Linked DNA regions of Canis lupus familiaris. The protein of the gene in region 1 interacts with the protein of each later gene in a biochemical or structural test. Links are inferred from orthologs where the notes say so. Each region holds a gene or a part of one and is shown in the gene's direction. Other genes may lie near its edges. The genes, in order: UBE3A, UBQLN1, RAD23A, FAF2 and ACTBL2.

Evidence for each region.
Region 2: the proteins of UBE3A (region 1) and UBQLN1 form a complex in vitro, tested with the Homo sapiens proteins (2 studies listed by BioGRID, with this or other methods). The link is inferred for Canis lupus familiaris from reciprocal best matches to the Homo sapiens genes UBE3A and UBQLN1.
Region 3: of the proteins of UBE3A (region 1) and RAD23A, one has a biochemical effect on the other in vitro, tested with the Homo sapiens proteins (9 studies listed by BioGRID, with this or other methods). The link is inferred for Canis lupus familiaris from reciprocal best matches to the Homo sapiens genes UBE3A and RAD23A.
Region 4: of the proteins of UBE3A (region 1) and FAF2, one has a biochemical effect on the other in vitro, tested with the Homo sapiens proteins (2 studies listed by BioGRID). The link is inferred for Canis lupus familiaris from reciprocal best matches to the Homo sapiens genes UBE3A and FAF2.
Region 5: the proteins of UBE3A (region 1) and ACTBL2 form a complex in vitro, tested with the Homo sapiens proteins (2 studies listed by BioGRID). The link is inferred for Canis lupus familiaris from reciprocal best matches to the Homo sapiens genes UBE3A and ACTBL2.

Annotation. Positions count from the first base shown.
Region 1 is NC_049224.1:35,646,752-35,650,766, forward strand, and holds the start of UBE3A (ubiquitin-protein ligase E3A), read left to right. Parts: upstream 1-1,214; 5' UTR 1,215-1,733; intron 1,734-4,015. UniProt on the Homo sapiens protein: E3 ubiquitin-protein ligase which accepts ubiquitin from an E2 ubiquitin-conjugating enzyme in the form of a thioester and transfers it to its substrates.
Region 2 is NC_049222.1:76,346,986-76,351,132, forward strand, and holds the start of UBQLN1 (ubiquilin-1), read left to right. Parts: upstream 1-1,334; coding exon 1,335-1,514; intron 1,515-4,147. UniProt on the Homo sapiens protein: Plays an important role in the regulation of different protein degradation mechanisms and pathways including ubiquitin-proteasome system (UPS), autophagy and endoplasmic reticulum-associated protein degradation (ERAD) pathway.
Region 3 is NC_049241.1:49,644,331-49,648,359, reverse strand, and holds the start of RAD23A (UV excision repair protein RAD23 homolog A), read left to right. Parts: upstream 1-1,224; 5' UTR 1,225-1,339; coding exon 1,340-1,411; intron 1,412-2,725; coding exon 2,726-2,887; intron 2,888-3,054; coding exon 3,055-3,236; intron 3,237-3,371; coding exon 3,372-3,427; intron 3,428-3,557; coding exon 3,558-3,685; intron 3,686-3,959; coding exon 3,960-4,029. UniProt on the Homo sapiens protein: Multiubiquitin chain receptor involved in modulation of proteasomal degradation. Binds to 'Lys-48'-linked polyubiquitin chains in a length-dependent manner and with a lower affinity to 'Lys-63'-linked polyubiquitin chains.
Region 4 is NC_049225.1:37,718,196-37,721,710, reverse strand, and holds part of FAF2 (FAS-associated factor 2), read left to right. Parts: coding exon 1-53; intron 54-1,650; coding exon 1,651-1,736; intron 1,737-1,829; coding exon 1,830-1,921; intron 1,922-3,479; coding exon 3,480-3,515. UniProt on the Homo sapiens protein: Plays an important role in endoplasmic reticulum-associated degradation (ERAD) that mediates ubiquitin-dependent degradation of misfolded endoplasmic reticulum proteins.
Region 5 is NC_049223.1:43,696,016-43,698,791, reverse strand, and holds ACTBL2 (beta-actin-like protein 2), read left to right. Parts: upstream 1-1,133; coding exon 1,134-2,264; downstream 2,265-2,776. UniProt on the Homo sapiens protein: Actins are highly conserved proteins that are involved in various types of cell motility and are ubiquitously expressed in all eukaryotic cells.

The DNA of each region.
Region 1 (4,015 bases):
GATCTGTTAATGGGAGAAAATGAAAAAAAGAGTAAGGAACCGAGTTAAAAATCGGACATGATTTAATACTGTCATTTATCATTAATTGTTCTGGGATAATTTAAATTCCACTAGCTTATTTTTTACGTTTTTTTTTTTTTTTTTTTTTTTTTTTACAGGTTATAATTGGGAAGCCGTATCCATATATCTGACTTATAATGTTCTAAGAATGGCAGTTAAATACAGTGCTATGTAAGACTGTTGATTTAAAAAAAATTGAGTATCAGATGAATGGGATCTATATAGTATTTCGGGGCTTAGCGAAGTCGTAAGCCATTAGGAATACTGTTTGTTAGTGATCCCACTACAGCTTTGCTAAGTGTCGCAGAGCCATAAAATAAGCCCTTTTAAATAAAAAGGTGACCTTGATAGTATGAAGACGCATGGCTTTAAGTGGCTTCAATTGTCACGGGGATGGAATCAGCATCCCCCCGGCTGGTGTGGACCACGAGGCCACCATCTCCTAACAACCTGCCAAGGGATGGGCTTTCACCTTCGACTACAGTGATGACATTGTGTCGGCGGGAGGCCCAAGCAGATGACCTTGTCCCCTGAAGGTGGCTCACGCTCTCGGGGTACCACAGCAGGACCTACAGCTGCCGCCTGACGGGAAGGGGCTGAGATCGAAGGCCCGGTGTCCGGAGGCGTCGGCCCCGCTATGCGGGGCTGGAAGCCATCACAGCCCCCGCCCCCCGGCGGACCCATCCCGGTTAACATCGGGAGCGTTTATGTCCTAGCACGTCCCTGGACTTGGGTATACCAGGGGGCCGTCCAGCCCTCCCAGGGGCTCCAGGGGGCTCCCGGCGTTACCCCCTTCTTTCCGCGGGGATAGAGCCACCACAGACAGAGGTGGCTCCATGGAAACACGAACTCCTCTGCCTCGTCCCAAGATGGCGACCAGCCCTGGTAGGACTCCAGGGAGCCCCGAGCCACTTCCCCTTCCCAGCAGGCCCTGCGCGGGCGACGACGGCAAGAAGGCAGGGGGCGGAGCCGGCGTGAGAGGGCGGGGCACAGCGCTGCGCCCGCCCGCGCGCACCCCAGCCCCGCCTCACGTCGCTGCGTCCCGGCCCGGAGCTCTCGCCCGGCCGGGCGGCGCGCGCTGCCTGCTGGGATACTCGGCCCGCCCAGCCAGTCCTCCCGGCTTGCGCTGCGGCCGCGAGATCCGCGTTTTTTTCCAAGATGGTGGCGCTGGGTTCGGGGTGACTGGCAGTAGACGACAGAGCCTGAATCCCCTTCGCCGGAACCTCGACACACCGCCTTCCTCCCGCTCACGCACCCCGCTGCCACTTAGCCATCCGCCGGCCTGCGCGCTCGCCTTCCGCCGCCGCCTCGGACTTGGGCTTCATCTTGCGGACCCAACGCTTCGGGCAGCGGGCGGCGGCGCCTCCCTCGGCGCGTCTCGGGGTCGCGCTCGGAGCAGTCCGCAGCCCAGCCCCGGCTCGGCGGGCCCCGCAGCTCCCCAGCGCGGACAGGCGGCGGCTGGCGGCGAGCTCGGGTTCTCTTGCGGCCCCGGCGCCCCCTTTCCCGGCCTCCGTCTCCGGAGAAGGAAGCGCGGGTCCCGCATGAGCCCCGGCGGTGGCGGCAGCGACAGGGAACGAGGCGGTGGCGGGCGGAGGCGGCGAGCGAAGGCTACTGCGACCAGTGAGGCAGCCGCGGCTGCGAGGGCCACGGCCCGGGCGCGGGGGCGACCGCAGGTCAGTGTGGCCGGGGGCCGTTCCCGACGTCGTCCGTGTCGCCGAGCCGCCTTCCGGGGCCTGGGAGGGAGGGTGGGAGGCCCCCGGACCGCGCGGCGGTGGGGGGGGGGGGGCGGCTGCTGCCAGGACTAGGCCTCTGGTGGCGGTGGCGGCGGCGGCGGCGGCTGCCTCCGTAACTGTCAGTCCTGGCCGAGGGCCGGAGGGAGGGTGGTGTGGCCGGAGGGGACGCGAGCGGGCCCGGGGCGGGGCGTGCAGGGCGTCGAGAGTTGGCCTCGGTGGAAGGGCTCGCGGAGCAGGCCGGAGCCGGGCTGGTAGGGCCGGCCCTCTCCTCCCGAGGGGAGAGTTTTTCTTGAGGGCTCGGCCCCGTGGGTGAAAAATGCTGAGCCTGGCGCTGCGGTGGGTTGGGATTTGGGGGTGGACGGTGGCGGGGGTGGGGTTGGGGGGGAGGGCGGATGAAGTGGGAAATCGAGCCCCGGGTCGCGTCCACAGATTATCCGCGTTTTCATGTTAAACGTGAGTTACCGGGTTTGCCAGAAATTCCCTTAAATGCAAACCTGCAAACAGTTGGCATTTTTTACTTTCCCTTTTCAGTTGAGAAAATGAAAAGGACTCTTTCTTCGTCATGGCGTGGAGGTTTTGTTGGTAAAGTGAGAATTGAACGTGGCAAATGCTTTAATCAATAAAATTGTTAGAAATGATTTTAATGTAGACTTAGACTCCTTCAAAGATAATTTAGTCTCTGAATTTTTAAAAACGACCAGTGGGCATACTAAAATAGAAACATTACTAAATCTGTCTGGGATTCTATTTATTAAGTGGCTAGGGTGCTGTTGAAATGTAAAAGAATAGTAATATGGGATTTACAGTCCATAGTTACCCTCCGTAAATATGAGGGGAATATGGATATGACCCATAATTTTGGAGAATTCCACTGCCTGCAATATTGAAAGAAGCAGGAAATTATTCCAGAATATTCTGGGGGGAAGAAAAGGGCCTGAAATGGAAAGGACCTAGAGTTTGGAAGTATAACTGTTAAAAAGTTACCTGTCAGAGTCACTGTGGATACCCAATAAATATCTTGAGTGAATTAGACAAGAAGGATAAGAAGTGTTTATTCATAATCTCTGACTAATAAGTACTCAGATTATTGTGTAAGCCATGTAAAAATTTAGAATTTAGAAAGATAAAAGTATAATTTTGTCATGATATATATAGAAATAATTTTAGAGGTAGATGGTGCTTATAAATCGGGTTATCACATTTGTAATAAAATGAATACAATATTCACGATGATGCTGATAAGACCAAAGAATGAACCTGAAGCCTTTTAAAGAAACTAATAATCATGACAACAAAAGCAAGAAATAAATTCAAGAAATAATGACCTTCTCCTTACAAGAATGGGACTGGAAACTAAGGAAGTCTTGTATCAATATATATTATCTAGTATGCTAAGTATTATGTACACTGTTGTCTGGACATTGCCTAGTTCTTGAGGACTTTACAGAGTAAATTACAATATTACAATGTTTTGGTTCCTTTTCAGGGGTTTTGTAAGCTGTTTTTGTTTTACTTCTCTGAAATTGTACATTTTTTTCATGGCTTAAAAAAATACCTTCTTAAGTATGCTTATTAGAAGTGTGAGGAAGACACATTCTCATCCCACTTGCCCAGCTCATGTAATAAGGTTTATTGGGTATTTAAAATTGGATTTTAACATTTAATCAGTTGTATTTCTTAAACTTTAGATCATTTTTAAAGTGGTACTCCTCTCTCCCCTCCAAAAAAGAAAAAAAAAAAATCACCCCACACATCTGAAATGATTTGCCATTTCAAATAAGCAGTCAGTGGAATAATCCAAAACTATGCATCATATCTAAATTTTTCAACCCAAACACTTGAAATATTTACAGATGTTTATTTTCTTAAATGATTATTGGTTATGTACTTGTCATGTTGCACATTTTTGTTTATATCTAAACTAGTATTGGTCAAAACAGGGACATTACATTAAGTACATAGGTATCTGTTAAGAAATTAGTTTTTTGATTTTTTTTATGAGTGAAGACAAGTTTTCTCTTTTTAGGATAATTCGGGATAACAGAGTTTTGGCTGATTTTGACATTCCCTGCTCTGCCCCCACTGCAAATGAAAAGATAAATTCAGACATTATAATGTATACAGGGAAGATAGCTTTGGAATTAGATTCCATTTTTACTTCTGGGCTCAACCTTACTTGTTTGATCTTAGAAAGTTACTTAGTCTTGGTGAGCTGCAGTTTT
Region 2 (4,147 bases), on another chromosome or scaffold:
GGCTGTCTGGGTTTCCATTTGCGCAATACTGATTAATAAAGCTAATGTCCTGGGTTCTATATTCCTTGCAAGTCATCTTTAAAGGCAAATGACGTCATTTCAAAGCCCGAGTTCTAGGGGGGGGGGAGATAATTAAATTATTTATACCCACACTCTACTAAAAAGGATTTTTGAACCTAAAATCTGAACTGCAGGAATAACTTGACAGAATGTAAAACGAACACCTCGGCTTCATTCAAGCGCCCCAGGTGGGGGGGGGGGGCAGCCCTTGGGCCCCCGTTTCTGCCCCCGTACTTTGCGGGGCAGCGTCCAGAGAATCCGGGGCGCTCGCGCAGGCTGTCCGGGCGGGGGGCGGCGGCCTGTCAGCAGAGGTGGCCTGATCGCCAGACCCAACCGGCTGACCCGAGGGCGGGCCGCCCGGGCCGCGGGGCAGTGACTCCGCGGGATCGCGCAGGGTGGCTACGGCCCACTCTTCCTTCGTTACGACGAAGCGCCTTCCTCCATTAACGTAGCTTCCACCTCCCGCGCACCGGGCAGTACGGGCAAGCATCTCAAAGGCCACAAGTGGGCAAGCGGACGGCTGTTACCGCGACACCCGGCACTCCCACTGCCCTCCCCGGGGTCCCGGGTGCGCGCAAAGGCGAGGCGAGCGCTACGGCGCGGAGGGGCCGGGCACGGCCGCCGCGGGGTCCGCAGGGGGCGGGGGCCGCCGCCGAACCACAGCGCGCAGGCGCGTCCGCGTCGCCCAGTGGTCGAGCTCCTTTCTAGTAACTTCGCTAGGCGTGAGGTCATCACCGCGCGCCGTTACCGTGCTTCCCAGAACACGCTAATTTGTTTTTTAGCCAAGGGGATGAAATGAAATGAACTGATCCCTCCCGCCCCATTTTGCTTTTAGCTCTCCTCTCCGGCTGCGCCTACCCTCTGGGCCATGGAGCCGGGACAGGGAAAGAAAGGCGGCCGGGGCTGGAAGCGGGGCTGGCCGGGCATGACTCGGCGACGCCGCCAGCCGACTTACCCGGCGTGCCCTGCGCGGCGCCGGCCGAGGGACGTGGGGGGAGGGGCGGGGAGGAGGAAGAGCGGCGGCGGCTGCGGATGTCGCTGCGACCGAGCGGCGTCTGAACTCACGGCGGCTGCCGAGCGCCCAGCCCGGGCCTGCGCCGGAGCCCGCGCCGAGCCCCGCGGCCCCTCGCCTGCCAGGGCGGCCCCGCACCGGTTGTCACTGAGGCGGCGTGCCCCGCGTTCTCCGCTGCCCGGGCCGGCCGGCTCTGCCGTCTGCTGGCTCCCCCTCGCTCGCCCGCTCCCTCCTGCGCGCCTGAGTCACCGCCGCCGCCGCCATGGCCGAGAGTGGTGAAAGCGGCGGCCCTCCGAGCTCCCAGGACGGCGCCGCCGCGGCCGAAGGTGCAGGCGCCCCCGCGGCCGCTGCGTCCGCGGAGCCCAAGATCATGAAAGTCACCGTGAAGACCCCGAAGGAGAAGGAGGAGTTCGCCGTGCCCGAGAACAGCTCCGTGCAGCAGGTGAGGGCCGCCCTGGCCGCGGGCCCGGGTGGGGGTGGCGGCGGGACCTCCGCCCGCGGCGGGAGGAGACCGTCCCCCGAGGTGCTGTCGGCCCGCCTCGCGGGTCTCGCCCCGAATCAGATCACACCCAAGTTGCCGGGTGTGCTCCTTGGGACACCGCAGAGGCTTGTGGCGGGGCCCCGCGGCCTGCTGTGGGACGCGCCGACGCCGCCCCCTCCCCCCGCTCCCGCGTCCGCGGACCACCAGCCCCCGCCCCAGCCCCCGCCCCCCGCCCCCCGCCCCCCGCCCCCCGCCGCCTCCCTCCCGCTGCTCACAAAGGAAAGGGACCACCGCCGCGCTCCGGGCGGGGTGGAGGCCGGGCTGGGCGAGGGTTCGCGGTAGCCTCCTCTGCGGTTTTGTCTCCTGAGTTAAAAAAAAAAAAAAGGGTGGGTGGGTGCCCATTGTTTCACCTGCTTGCAGCTTAAGGTCGATTTTGGGGCGAGGAGCACGTGTACATTTAGTTCTGCGTTTTGATTGCTGAAATCTTTTCTACCTTCTAATCTTCAAAAAAAAAAAAAAATTAACCATGACGTAGAAATCGTTTTCAGCCACATCTTAATAGTACTAGCCTTAAGGAAGAAAGGTGGATGACTTTCATTGATGACTTGCGGTTTTCTTTTTAGTGTTTATCATCCCTTAGGTGCCAGTCATCGGGAAGGTTTTTGTTTGATTTTAGAGGGATGGTAGCCACGTTTTGCAGATATTAGCGGTGGCAGTCGAATGCAAGAGAACAAAATTGGAGTTAATGGAGAATATTGCCAGATAATTTACTGCTTAAAATTGGGTTCGGGTGTACAAACTTTGCTGTTCAATTAAGAATCTTGAAGAATTCAACAAATTTGTTGTAGCTTATTGTTGAAAATATTTTGCATAGTTGTTGACCTCTGACGATCTAAAATGGGAACAGTTTGAGGGAACAACAATGTGAAATGTACATGTAAGTTTTCTCATAAACTGTAAATGGGATATTGGTTTACATAATCGTTCTGAAAGGTGGTGTAGAGTAGAGCAGGAAATAGTGGTGTAAATAGAGTAGAGCAGTAAGTAGAGTGTACCATCAACTGAGAAACTTTTACCACCTACTGAATCACCTTTTGTGTGTGTGTGTGTGTGGGGGGGTCCCCAATTGTATAAAAATTTCTCTTAACATTTTAATATTTTCTAACATCTAGCAGAGTTGAAAGAATGGTACAGTGAACATTCATAGTTCGTCACCTACAATTGACGCTTTGTTTTATTTGCTTTATCACGCAACTAATCATGTATTACTTCCTTTTACTTTTTGAATGCATTTTAGAGTAAGTTGCAAGTATCATTAAATGTTTTCAACAAATACACCTATATGATCCAAAGTTTTATCAAGATGTAGAACTTTACAGTTCAATCACTCCCCTCCATACATCACTGTTTTGATTTTTTTCACCATTAGTTTTTGCCTGTTCTAGAACTTCACATAAGTGGGATTATATAGTATATATTCTGTTGGGTAAGGTCTTTTCACTCAGTGTAATGTTTTTGAGATGCATTCTTGTATATGCCAGTAATTCCTGTTTATTGCTGTGTTTTCCACTGTGTGAATATGCCATTAATTAATGCATTCTGCTGAGGGCCACATGGGCTTCTTGCAGTTGGTTGCTGTGAACATACAAACTTTTTTTGTTGGACAGAGGGAGTTTTTCCTGTTAAAATTCTTAGAAGTGGAATGACTGGGTGATAGCGTAGTTGTAGGCTTAGTTATGAGAAACTGTCTTTTTAAAAAGAGCTTCTATCGCTCTTTTTTAAAGGCTGGTCGAAAAGAAACAACCCAGATGATTAACAACCCCTTAGCTGATGAATAAAGAGTAAAATGTGATATATTCCCCTACAATGGAATACTATTCGGTATTCCACCAAAGGTTCTACCAAAGGTTCTTGGGAGTTCCTGTTGCTCCACATCCCTGCTAGCATTTGATAGTGTCAGTCTTTTTCATTTTAGCTCTGCTAGGTATATTAGCTTTTGAAGCCCTTAGATCTTCTTTCTAGGATTGCTAATTCAGGTCTCCACCTTCATGCCTGCTTTCAGCATTTTATTGTAAAGGATTGGAAAGAGTCAATATTTTATAAATAGAAAAGTACATTTAAGTTATTTTATGAGGTACTGTCTGTTAGGATTTATATATATATTGTGTGTGTGAGAGTGACATTAGAATTTTAAAGCCTGTGGGAGTTTTAATTTTACTTTTCTGTAACCAAAGTAAATTGGTTAAATTAAAGCTTTTCCGAAGCAACTTATTCTGATGACATTTGAATTTTTATTCTGAAAAGTGCTTTCTGTTGTCATTCGTTCATTAAAATTAGTGCAGAGAGCAGAAGGGAGCTTCCAGGTAACGTGTCTAATTAGCTTGTTCCGGGATTTTGTAGTGCTCTAGGTTATAGTAAAAGATTTTGAAATCTAGTTCTCTGAAATATTCAGGCAACATATATTCTAGTCTTAGAAAACATTTTTATCATTTGAAACTTTTAGAATATTCGTATACTTAGATATAACAAGTATTGCATAGATTTGAGCCTTTTCTTGTTAAGGGAAATTGCTGTGTGTCAGGATCATTACCACA
Region 3 (4,029 bases), on another chromosome or scaffold:
TGTTTACCCCCACAACCTCAAACCAGTGGGAGAAGAGTGTGTTCTAAGCGCCTTTACAAAGACTCCAGATATTACTCATTGAGTCTTCATGCCAAACTGAGCTTTGTTTTTAGTTTGCCCCATTCAGTTTGATGAGGCTAAGCTCCAAAATGTAAGGGGTAGGGCAGGGCTATGAACTCACACCATAGCACCATTTCATGAGATCTATTTTACACTCAACCGTATATACTTCTTGACTGTTAAAAGAGCAAGACTAGGATGATTGGACTATTTTAAACAAGTATTCTTAATACCAGTCAGGGTTAATTAAGTTACTCCTTTTATAATCAAGAATATAGGTTCAGATATGGTAGATCTAGCATGTTGGTAATCCTTGAATTCTTGGAAAGAGATGGCCTCAAGGAAGGTGCAGAGATGACAGGCCAACAAGGTCTAGGTTCTCTAGAGCCCATCTCTTTTGGGGTCTACTATGGCTGCCACTGAAGTCCAGCAGGTGGCCTGGAGCTTATGTCCCTTGTTGCAGGAGAGAGACAAGAAGCCCTCAACAGCCTGGCCTACTATGGTGGGAACTTCCAGGCCCTGCCTGCTGTGAAGGGAAAAACAGCAGGACCTGGTTACAGTTGGGCAATGGGTGAGGTGTCCGGTAACTCCCTGGTGCAGGGCGTACGTTGAGTGAGAAACTAAAGAGTTTTGGAGGCAGGTAATGGTCAGTTCAGGATGGAAGGGCCTCCACCCAGTAACTGGGAGAGAACTCTGCCTTGCCACCATCCAGTCCCCCAAAGCACCATCATCACCTTCAGCCAACTAATCCTTCATTTTTTAAACTAATTGTTGGTGACCTTTTGAGTGTTTTTTCCCAGTCCCGAGTAAGGGTTCCTTTGAGGGTAGCCACACTAGAACAAAAGTCATTTGGGAGACAAAAAAAGCCTTTGTACAAGAAATACAAGTGTCTACAACAAGTAGATGAAAAATTTTGTTCGATGTAATCAACAAACTCAAGATCATGAAAGTGGGGGACGTTGGAGCCATTTTGTGGCCGTCTGACGTCACCGCTAGCGGGCATGGCGTCACTCTCAGGGAGCCACGTGACGTATATGCGTGCTGAATGAGAAGCTGCCTCCGGAAGCCGAGTTTACTCTGCGCATGCCTGGCCAAAAGCCTCTCGCGCATGCCCACCAAAGCTAAGGGGGGGCGGAGGTCACGTGCTCTGGTGGTCGGCGCGCGCACCTCCTGCCCCGGAAGCGGTCGGCTCGCGGCGCGGCTGGGCGCTAAGATGGCGGCGGCGTGAGTTGCATGTTGTGTGAGGATCCCGGGGCCGCCGCGTCGCTCGGGCCCCGCCATGGCCGTCACCATCACGCTCAAAACGCTGCAGCAGCAGACCTTCAAAATCCGCATGGAGCCTGACGAGACGGTGGGAGCTGGACCGGAGCCCGGGGGCGGGAACGACGGGTGCCGGGGGATGGGGTGGGGGCGGGGAGGACGGGATCCCGACTGGAGGGGCGGGGAGGACAGCGCGGGCAGGGCTCTGCCCACCCGTCCCAGCCTGCCTGTCTTTCCCGAACCTCCCTGTGGTTCTGGGCCCAGCCCCCGGCGACTTGTGCTGATGGCGCTCAAGGGCCGGTCTCCAGACTAGGCCCCACCCCCGGGGCACCCATCAGGCCCGGCTCCAATGTCAGCGCCCTCGCGGGTCGCGGGAGCCGAAGGCTCAGATTCCCGGCCCGGCCACGCTCTCCGGGACCGGGCCTCCGAGTTCCCAGCTTTGCAGGCGTCTCCTCGGGACGTTGGTGGCCACATTTGGGAGTGGTGACGCCAGTGACGATGATAATGATAATAAACGGCCTGACTTTTCAGTGGTCTGTGTTGGCGGTTCTTTACCAGCAGCGGAGCAATTTTGTGTTATCTTACTAAAGTTGCAAAACAGACATCATTTGAGCACTCTTGACTCACTCCGTTTTACAGATGTGGGAATTTAGAAATAAGAGGATTTTGCTACGGTCACATAAAGCAAGTAATGGCAGACGGGTTTCAAATTTGGTTTTGTCTCATGTGAGAGCCCGTGGTCTAAACATTGCACTGCGTTTTTAGCTGAAAAGAGGTTTAGGACGCATCAGACATTGAATGTGTGTTTGGCGCTTTGCACAACTACCTCATGGAGACATTGAACTCTACGTTTTGTAGAAAAGGAAACACTCATATTTTTTGATCACGCCAACTGTTTGACTTTGGGCAAGCTACTTAATCTCCCTGTGCCTGTTTCCTCAAATATAAAACTGGGGTAATGATATCTACTTCATGCAGTAGTGAAGCTTTAAAAGCGGTATGTACACACTTATGTTAGTGCTGTCCGTATAAGATGTTTTTGGCAAACACAGCACTGTCAGCAGTGTGGAATGAGGAATCTCGTTTCCTCTTTGTTTTACTTTTCATCACATTTTACGTTATCTGAGGTTATATTTTTTTTCACTTTTCCTCGCATTAGTGTTATCTTCACAGACGCAGGGAATTATGTTGAGTTTTGTTCCTTTCTATGTTATGTGCTCAATTCCTAGAACAGCACCTGGCGTGTAATAAGTGTTAGGTAAATACTTCGTTGAATAGTGGGATCTGGCATGCTTTACTATGAAGCTTAGCTTCTCTGCCATTGAGGTCTGCAGTCCCTTCCCCTGCCCGTCCCCCCATCAAGAAAGAGTCTTGAGGTTTGCAATGAGTGTTCCTCTCCTTCCAGGTGAAGGTGCTAAAGGAGAAAATAGAAGCTGAGAAGGGTCGTGATGCCTTCCCTGTGGCTGGACAGAAACTCATCTATGCTGGCAAGATCCTGAGCGATGACGTTCCCATCAGGGACTATCGCATTGATGAGAAGAATTTCGTGGTCGTTATGGTGACCAAGGTGGGTAAAGTGTGCTGGCTGGGAGGGTGAGAGAATTAGCTTGGGATCTGACAAAGAGCCTGTGTGCCCAGGAGAGATTAGCTATGAATAGGGCGGGGCTGAGACGGGATGGGATGTTGGGGCTAGATAGGGATATTGATGCCTGCTCCTTTTTCTGGGTGTCACAGGCCAAAACTAGCCCAGGCACCTCAGTACCCCCAGAGGCCTCACCCACTGCTGCCCCGGAGTCCTCCACATCCTTCCCTCCGGCCCCTGCCTCAGGCATGTCCCATCCCCCACCTACTGCCAGAGAGGACAAGAGCCCATCGGAGGAATCAGTCCCCACGACATCCCCGGAGTCCGTGTCAGGGTAAGGCCAGGGAGCAGAAGCCCCAGCTTGGGCCCTGTTTTCCCAGCACATTTTGACACATACATGTTTCCACATACCTGGGGGAGGGCAAGCCGCCAGAAGCCAGGGTCCGATTTCTCTCTCTTGAATTTGCAGCTCTGTTCCTTCTTCAGGTAGCAGCGGGCGAGAGGAAGATGCGGCATCCACACTAGGTGGGTGGGTGGTCCCTGGGGCAGAAGCAGTTGGGTGCCCGCCAGCTGTGGGGCCTTGTGTGGGTGTGGGGGGCCTGGGAACTGCCCTTCTCCCTCCTTGGTGACCCAGACCTTGCTGCTCCCTCCACAGTGACTGGTTCTGAGTATGAGACGATGCTGACAGAGATCATGTCCATGGGCTATGAGAGGGAGCGGGTCGTGGCCGCCCTGAGAGCCAGCTACAACAACCCCCACCGAGCCGTGGAGTATCTACTCACGGTGAGGTGGGGCTGCTGCCTCCTGGGGAGGCCTCAAGGGAGTACATGGGCTTACATGCTGTAATGGGTGGTCAGAGAGGCAAAACTTTGTCCTCAGAAGACTTTGGGTTGTGATTCCCACCGGGAAAGTCTTCCTGCAAGAGCCTGGGCATGAATGGTGGGGTGGGCCTGTGGAGGGCAGGGCCAAGGCTTCACCTGTCTTCTGCCAGGGCTGAACATGCAGAAGGGAGGCAGTGGGCAGTCTATGCGTTAGAACTAAATAGGACCCCTGACAGGGAATTCCTGGGAGTCCCGAGCCAGAACATGGTTCTGTCCAGGAGAGCCAGGTGTCGGAGCAGCCAGCCA
Region 4 (3,515 bases), on another chromosome or scaffold:
AAGAGAAATATGGGAGGGCACACCCTGTCTTCTACCAGGGAACGTACAGCCAGGTCAGTGCCACAAACCATATAGATGCCAATTTATTGATATGGTTCTATCCATAAAGGAAAGCATAGCCCAGCACTGATCATGTCATTCTTTTACTCAAGAACCTTAACTACCTCTTGACTGCTTCCAGAAAAAGAAAAACCAGCCCTACTTGATCTAATCCCAACCTCCTTTTGAGGTCTTTGCTGTATAACTTGTTTCTCCATACCATAGGTTCCAGATAAACCATTTCCTGAACATATTTTATATATTTTTTCACTTCTGTGCCTTTGCTTTTGCTTTTCCCTCCACCTGGAATGCCTTCCTCACGTTTTTTGCTAAATGGAAGCTTTCCCATCCTTCAACTAGGTCATATCACTCCCTTCTTATAAACCCTTTCTGATTGACGTGTCCTACCTGGCCTACCTTGCAGTCTAACTAAAATAGTAGTCTTTTCTTTTGTGCTTTCATAGTTTTTTTGAAAACTTAAAGCAGTTTCACATTCTTCCTTATATCATGGTTGATTATGTTTATTTTTTATCTCCTATACCAGACAGTAATCCCCTTAAAGGCAAAGTCTAAGTCGTCTTTGATCCCTCACAGAATTGAGTAAGGTCATAGGCCATAGACTGAAGGCAGCACATCTCAGTCAACCCAAGCCACATAAACCTTTGATACCTCTTAAGGGGTGAAAATTAAGAGTTCTGTGGGTGTTAGGCATATCTCGAGTTTGCCAAAGAAAAATGTAGAAGTAACACTGTGTCTATAGTCCAAAGGATGGTTCTGTTCTGCAGCCTCCAGTATTCCTGAATCTATCTGGTAAAAAAAAAAAAAAAAAAAAAAAAAACACACACACAAAAAAAAACTTACTCTTGCTTTCTGCTTTGATTCTCCCATATCGGCTTTTTCTCTTAGTTGGTCTCCTCAGAGGCTCTGCTGCCACCCTACTCAACAAGCATTAAGCACCAACGCTAAAGATGCAGTTGTGAATTAAATTGGTACCTCTGCACCCTCTTTGCTATGATCCTGAGGGTAGACCACCATTGGTCATTCCAGAGATACTAATTGAATTGTATTGTGCTGAAGATTATGCAAAATGCAGAAGCATACAAAGGAATCTTGGACACTTGCGTTGTCTTTGAAGATCTTTTAAACTTTGTGCTCTTTAGAATGTATTTGGGTCCCTCAGTCTTGCATCCCTGCTTGGTATGTGGCCTGGGATCAGGCTCATCTTTGCAGTATTTTTTATGTATAAAGATGTTGTAGCTGTAAAGTGGCAAAATTCTCACCTCCCCTTTCATGTGGTCAGATTCTCGTTTTTATCTTCCTTTAGACTGTGGGAACAGCTGACTTTTCTGTGATTTGTTGGGGACCTTTCTTTGTTAGCCTGTCTACTCTCATGTGCCTAATACAGTTTAAATCCTAACACCGAACCTTTTCATTAAAGCTTGTTAGCTTGGACGTTTTGTAGGGAGAAAAATGCCAGGGGTATGAAGGTAGGAGCCCAGAATCTGATTTCTTGTTCACATTTTTTCCTCATTTCTCCTTTTGTTCTCTTAGCCTAAGGAAAAGCTCAAGGCATAGTCGTCATAATAATTAGTGATCTTCTGTTTCTCACAGGCACTTAACGATGCCAAGCGGGAGCTTCGCTTTCTTTTGGTTTATCTTCATGGAGATGATCACCAGGACTCTGATGAGTTCTGTCGGTAAGTGGATTGATTGATTATTTAAATTTTTTTGTCTGCTGATGTTTTGTAGTAAGCAAGTTCTTCTCATATCCTTTTCATCCCTCTCCACAGCAACACACTCTGTGCCCCTGAAGTTATTTCCCTAATAAATACTAGGATGCTTTTCTGGGCATGCTCCACAAATAAACCTGAGGGATATAGGGGTAAGTTGTGTTTCTTTTTCCTCATTGAGATTGTTGAGATATCTTTGAGATAGTCTGGGAAAACACGCCGTTTATTGCATGACTATTCTGTGTTAGACATGTGCTCATTACATTTTATATATTATCATATGTAATCCTCTCAGTAGTCCTGAAAGGAGGGTTGTATTATTTTCCCTTTATGGTTTAGGAAACAGGCTCAGAGAGTTTAAGTGAGATTGTACAGTTAGCAATCTCAGGTCTGTTAGACTCTAGTGCATTCTTTACAGGTAACCATTGCCAGGTTTTATTTTTAAAACATCCAGTCCTATCCAGCAGGACTAATCTAATCGCTTTTAATCTAAATGGCTTTTTACTGAGGAGTTGACTCTCATCATGAGTGATTTTATTTTATTTATTTTAAAGATTTTTATTTATTTATTTGAGAGAGAGAGATAGAGGGAGAAGCAGGCTCTCTGCTGAGCAGGGAGCCCGATGTGGGGCTTGATTCCAGGACTCTGGGATAATGACCTGAGCCAAAGGCAGACGTTTAACCACCTGAGCCACCCAGGCGCCCCCCATCAGCAATTTTAACAGCTTCTTGCACATTGAATTAGTTGGGTACTCGAGTGCTGATAGGGATTCAGAAAGTTCAGATCTTTGCTGACAGTAACTCTTCACTAGAGATAAGTATATTTAGAAGTCAATATAAAGCATACATTAAGAAAAATGTAGTTACTTTGTAGTTACTTGTGTTCAGCAACTTTTGAGTATATACTAGCATAGATACTAAGAATCAAAGATGTTTTGCCTACCTCTTAAAATCTGAATCTTTACTCCTAATTGGTTTTTAAACATCTGATAAATTCATACAGCATGCGTTTTGCTACTCTAATATGGCTTTGGGGATATGGAAGGTAGTTGATAGAAAGAGATATATTTTTTATAGAAGCTTATAAAATATCTTCTTTAAAACCATAAGAAAAACATAAATAAAACTCCTTTATGGTAAAATCCTGCTTATTTGGAAAACTAACTTTCTAAAACCTCTTTGGAACAAAAAAAACTAGCTCTTTTGGTTGGGGGTAGGTGAGGGAGACATGAGGAAAGGACTAAGGAAGGGATTGAGTAAGAGGAAGAAAAGGCAGAAGACAGTGGTGGATCTCATCACCAGTAATAAAAGGCTGAGATTTACAGCCTTATTTTCTTTAGTCCTGATACCCAGTATAGGGGAAAATTATGCTTAGCAGTAGCCAAATTCTTTATAGGTCCTTTTTTACCAAAATGGCTTTGTCCTTGACTTCTGCAGTCTTCCCAAGCATCATTATGACAACCACTCCTGCCAGAATAGTTTATCCTATTCTAATCAAATTACCTGGGAATAGGGACACAAAAATAAAATAAAACCACAGCAAAGATTAAAAAACTAGGAGGAAAAAAGGTATGTAGAGAATAAGTGAGACCTCCTTTCATTCCCAAGTAGGGGAGTAAAACCTTCCTGTCTTGCTCCTTGTGGAAAGTCTAAGAGTTGATCTGGTTCATCCGTAGGGCTGCCCTTAACCTGTTGACTCTTCTTTCTCAGTCTCGCAGGCTTTACGAGAGAACACCTATCCATTCC
Region 5 (2,776 bases), on another chromosome or scaffold:
CCAAAGGAAAAGGAAAGCTAACACTATTCCAAGTACGTACGTTTTTATAACTATAGAGGCATGATGTTATAATACAGTACATGAATCTTGAAGATCAAAATGTTTTAAAGATCAGCTCAAATATATAATTTTAAAATTTATCTTATCACTTAATTATGTTTATTTTTGACCTAAAGAGTTATTATAAATGAATAAAATTTTTATAATCTGCATTTTATCTAACAAATCATGTAACACAATTAATCATTGAGCCTCTATGCAGTCAACATGGACCCAATAACCCTGAACAGTGCCTGGGCATAGTAAGTGCTTAATATAATTTGGCTGTTAGACATTTATATCAAGAAAGAAAATCTGAAGTGGTTTACTTTATTGATCATTTTATGCTTTTAGTTGTTGTCTAATGGATTAGAAGTCTATTAAATAGCCCTAAGTTTTGCACAACACAAATGTATGGTAAGTACAGCTGTCGGGCCACCCTTGGCCGTTCATTATCTTCATCCATTAAAACAATTTCAATCATGATAACATCCTGTGGGATTAGGATCTCAATGGGAAAGAAAATCTTGAAAAAGTAAAATATTCGGCATTGGGCTCCTCATGAGAACAATATATTAAGAATGAAAAGTTAAAGCTAGTGTGGAGAAGATGAATCCAGAGGGTAAAGTGAGGAGGGAGCGGTCCTCCCAGCAGTGTTACTCCTACCTCTCACTAGCATTCTTTCATCTTGCTCTTACATCCCCCACTGCATCATCATCGTTATCTAGAGACTGAGCCAAAGCATGCTGACAACCATGTGTGGGTTGCCTAATTACAGTAACCTCAGATTTGGCTACTTTTGGTAGCCAATTTTCTCTTTATGAAGGAAGGTCTACTAATGATTTGTATAATCATCATCATCATTATTAATACCTCAAAGGCAACCTCACCCAGAAATGATGGGAACTGGTGGGACAGGACATGGGTGGGGCCAGTGTGTACCTTTAAATACTTGTCATCACAGCACAGGATTTCCTCTCTGAAAGCAGTTCCAGAGTGTCTCAATCTGTTCCTTCTCTCACTTGACACTGTAGTCTGCTATTTACTCTATATTTAACTTTTGTTCACCTGCCTGGAAGATTCCAGCCAGCGCCATGACCGATGATGAGCTATCTGCCTTGGTGGTAGATAATGGGTCAGGAATGTGCAAGGCAGGCTTTGGTGGTGATGATGCCCCCCGGGCTGTGTTCCCATCCATGGTAGGGCGTCCCCGGCATCAGGGGGTCATGGTCGGCATGGGCCAGAAAGACTGCTATGTGGGGGATGAAGCTCAGAGCAAGAGAGGCATCCTGACTCTGAAGTATCCCATTGAGCATGGAGTGGTCACCAACTGGGATGACATGGAGAAGATCTGGCACCACACTTTCTACAACGAGCTCCGTGTGGCACCAGATGAGCATCCCATCCTTCTCACCGAGGCACCCCTCAACCCCAAGATCAACCGGGAAAAGATGACTCAGATCATGTTTGAGGCCTTCAATACACCGGCCATGTATGTGGCTATCCAGGCCGTGCTGTCCCTCTATGCCTCTGGGAGGACCACAGGTATCGTGATGGATTCTGGGGATGGGGTTACTCACACTGTGCCCATCTATGAAGGTTACGCCCTGCCTCATGCCATTCTACGTCTGGACCTGGCTGGCAGAGACCTGACCGACTACCTCATGAAGATTCTGACAGAACGAGGCTACAACTTCACCACCACAGCTGAGCGGGAAATTGTTCGTGATGTCAAAGAGAAGCTGTGCTACGTGGCCCTGGACTTTGAGCAAGAGATGGGCAGTGCTGCTGCATCCTCTTCACTTGAAAGGAGCTACGAGCTTCCAGATGGGCAAGTGATCACCCTTGGGAATGAACGCTTTCGATGCCCTGAATCCATTTTTCAGCCTTCCTTTTTGGGCATTGAGTCCAGTGGGATCCATGAGACGACTTTCAACTCTATCATGAAGTGTGATGTGGATATTCGCAAGGATCTATATGCCAACATCGTGTTGTCTGGAGGCAGCACTATGTACCCTGGCATTGCTGACAGGATGCAGAAGGAAATCATGACTTTGGCACCTAGCACCATGAAAATCAAGATCATAGCTCCCCCAGAGAGGAAGTATTCCGTTTGGATTGGGGGCTCTATTCTGGCCAGCCTGTCTACATTCCAGCAGATGTGGATCAGTAAGCAGGAATACGATGAGGCTGGTCCTCCCATAGTTCATAGAAAATGTTTCTGACTGGTCTTCGTGCTAATGGGTTTACATCTTTTCCTTCTCTAGGTCATAGTAATGGTACTGCTTTTATCCACTTTCCATTGAGTCAAGGTAAATACTCTGCTCTTGCTAGTATAGAGCCAGCAAACTGATCTCCATTAGAGTACTCTGGGCTCCTGCCCAGCTAACCACATCTTGACCTTTATCAACTCAAGGAGAGTTGATTCTATTTTCTTCACTATAAGGTTCAAAGAAATGTTGTCCTGCTTAAATGAAAATGAGTGACAAGGAGTAAAATCCTAAGAAATGTCCTTTCAGAATGAGTAACTAGCATTTCCAAGCCTTAAAAACTAGTTCATGCTTTAAATATTTAACAATATGCCATGTAACCCTATAGAAATGTGTATGTTAGCAATAAGTCTTATTAGTTAGTATTTTTGTTTTGTCTTTCTCCTTTGTATAAAGATAACTAATTATATGGGTCAATAATATCCATATATACATAAGCACCAAGGAAATAAAATATTCTATCTTAA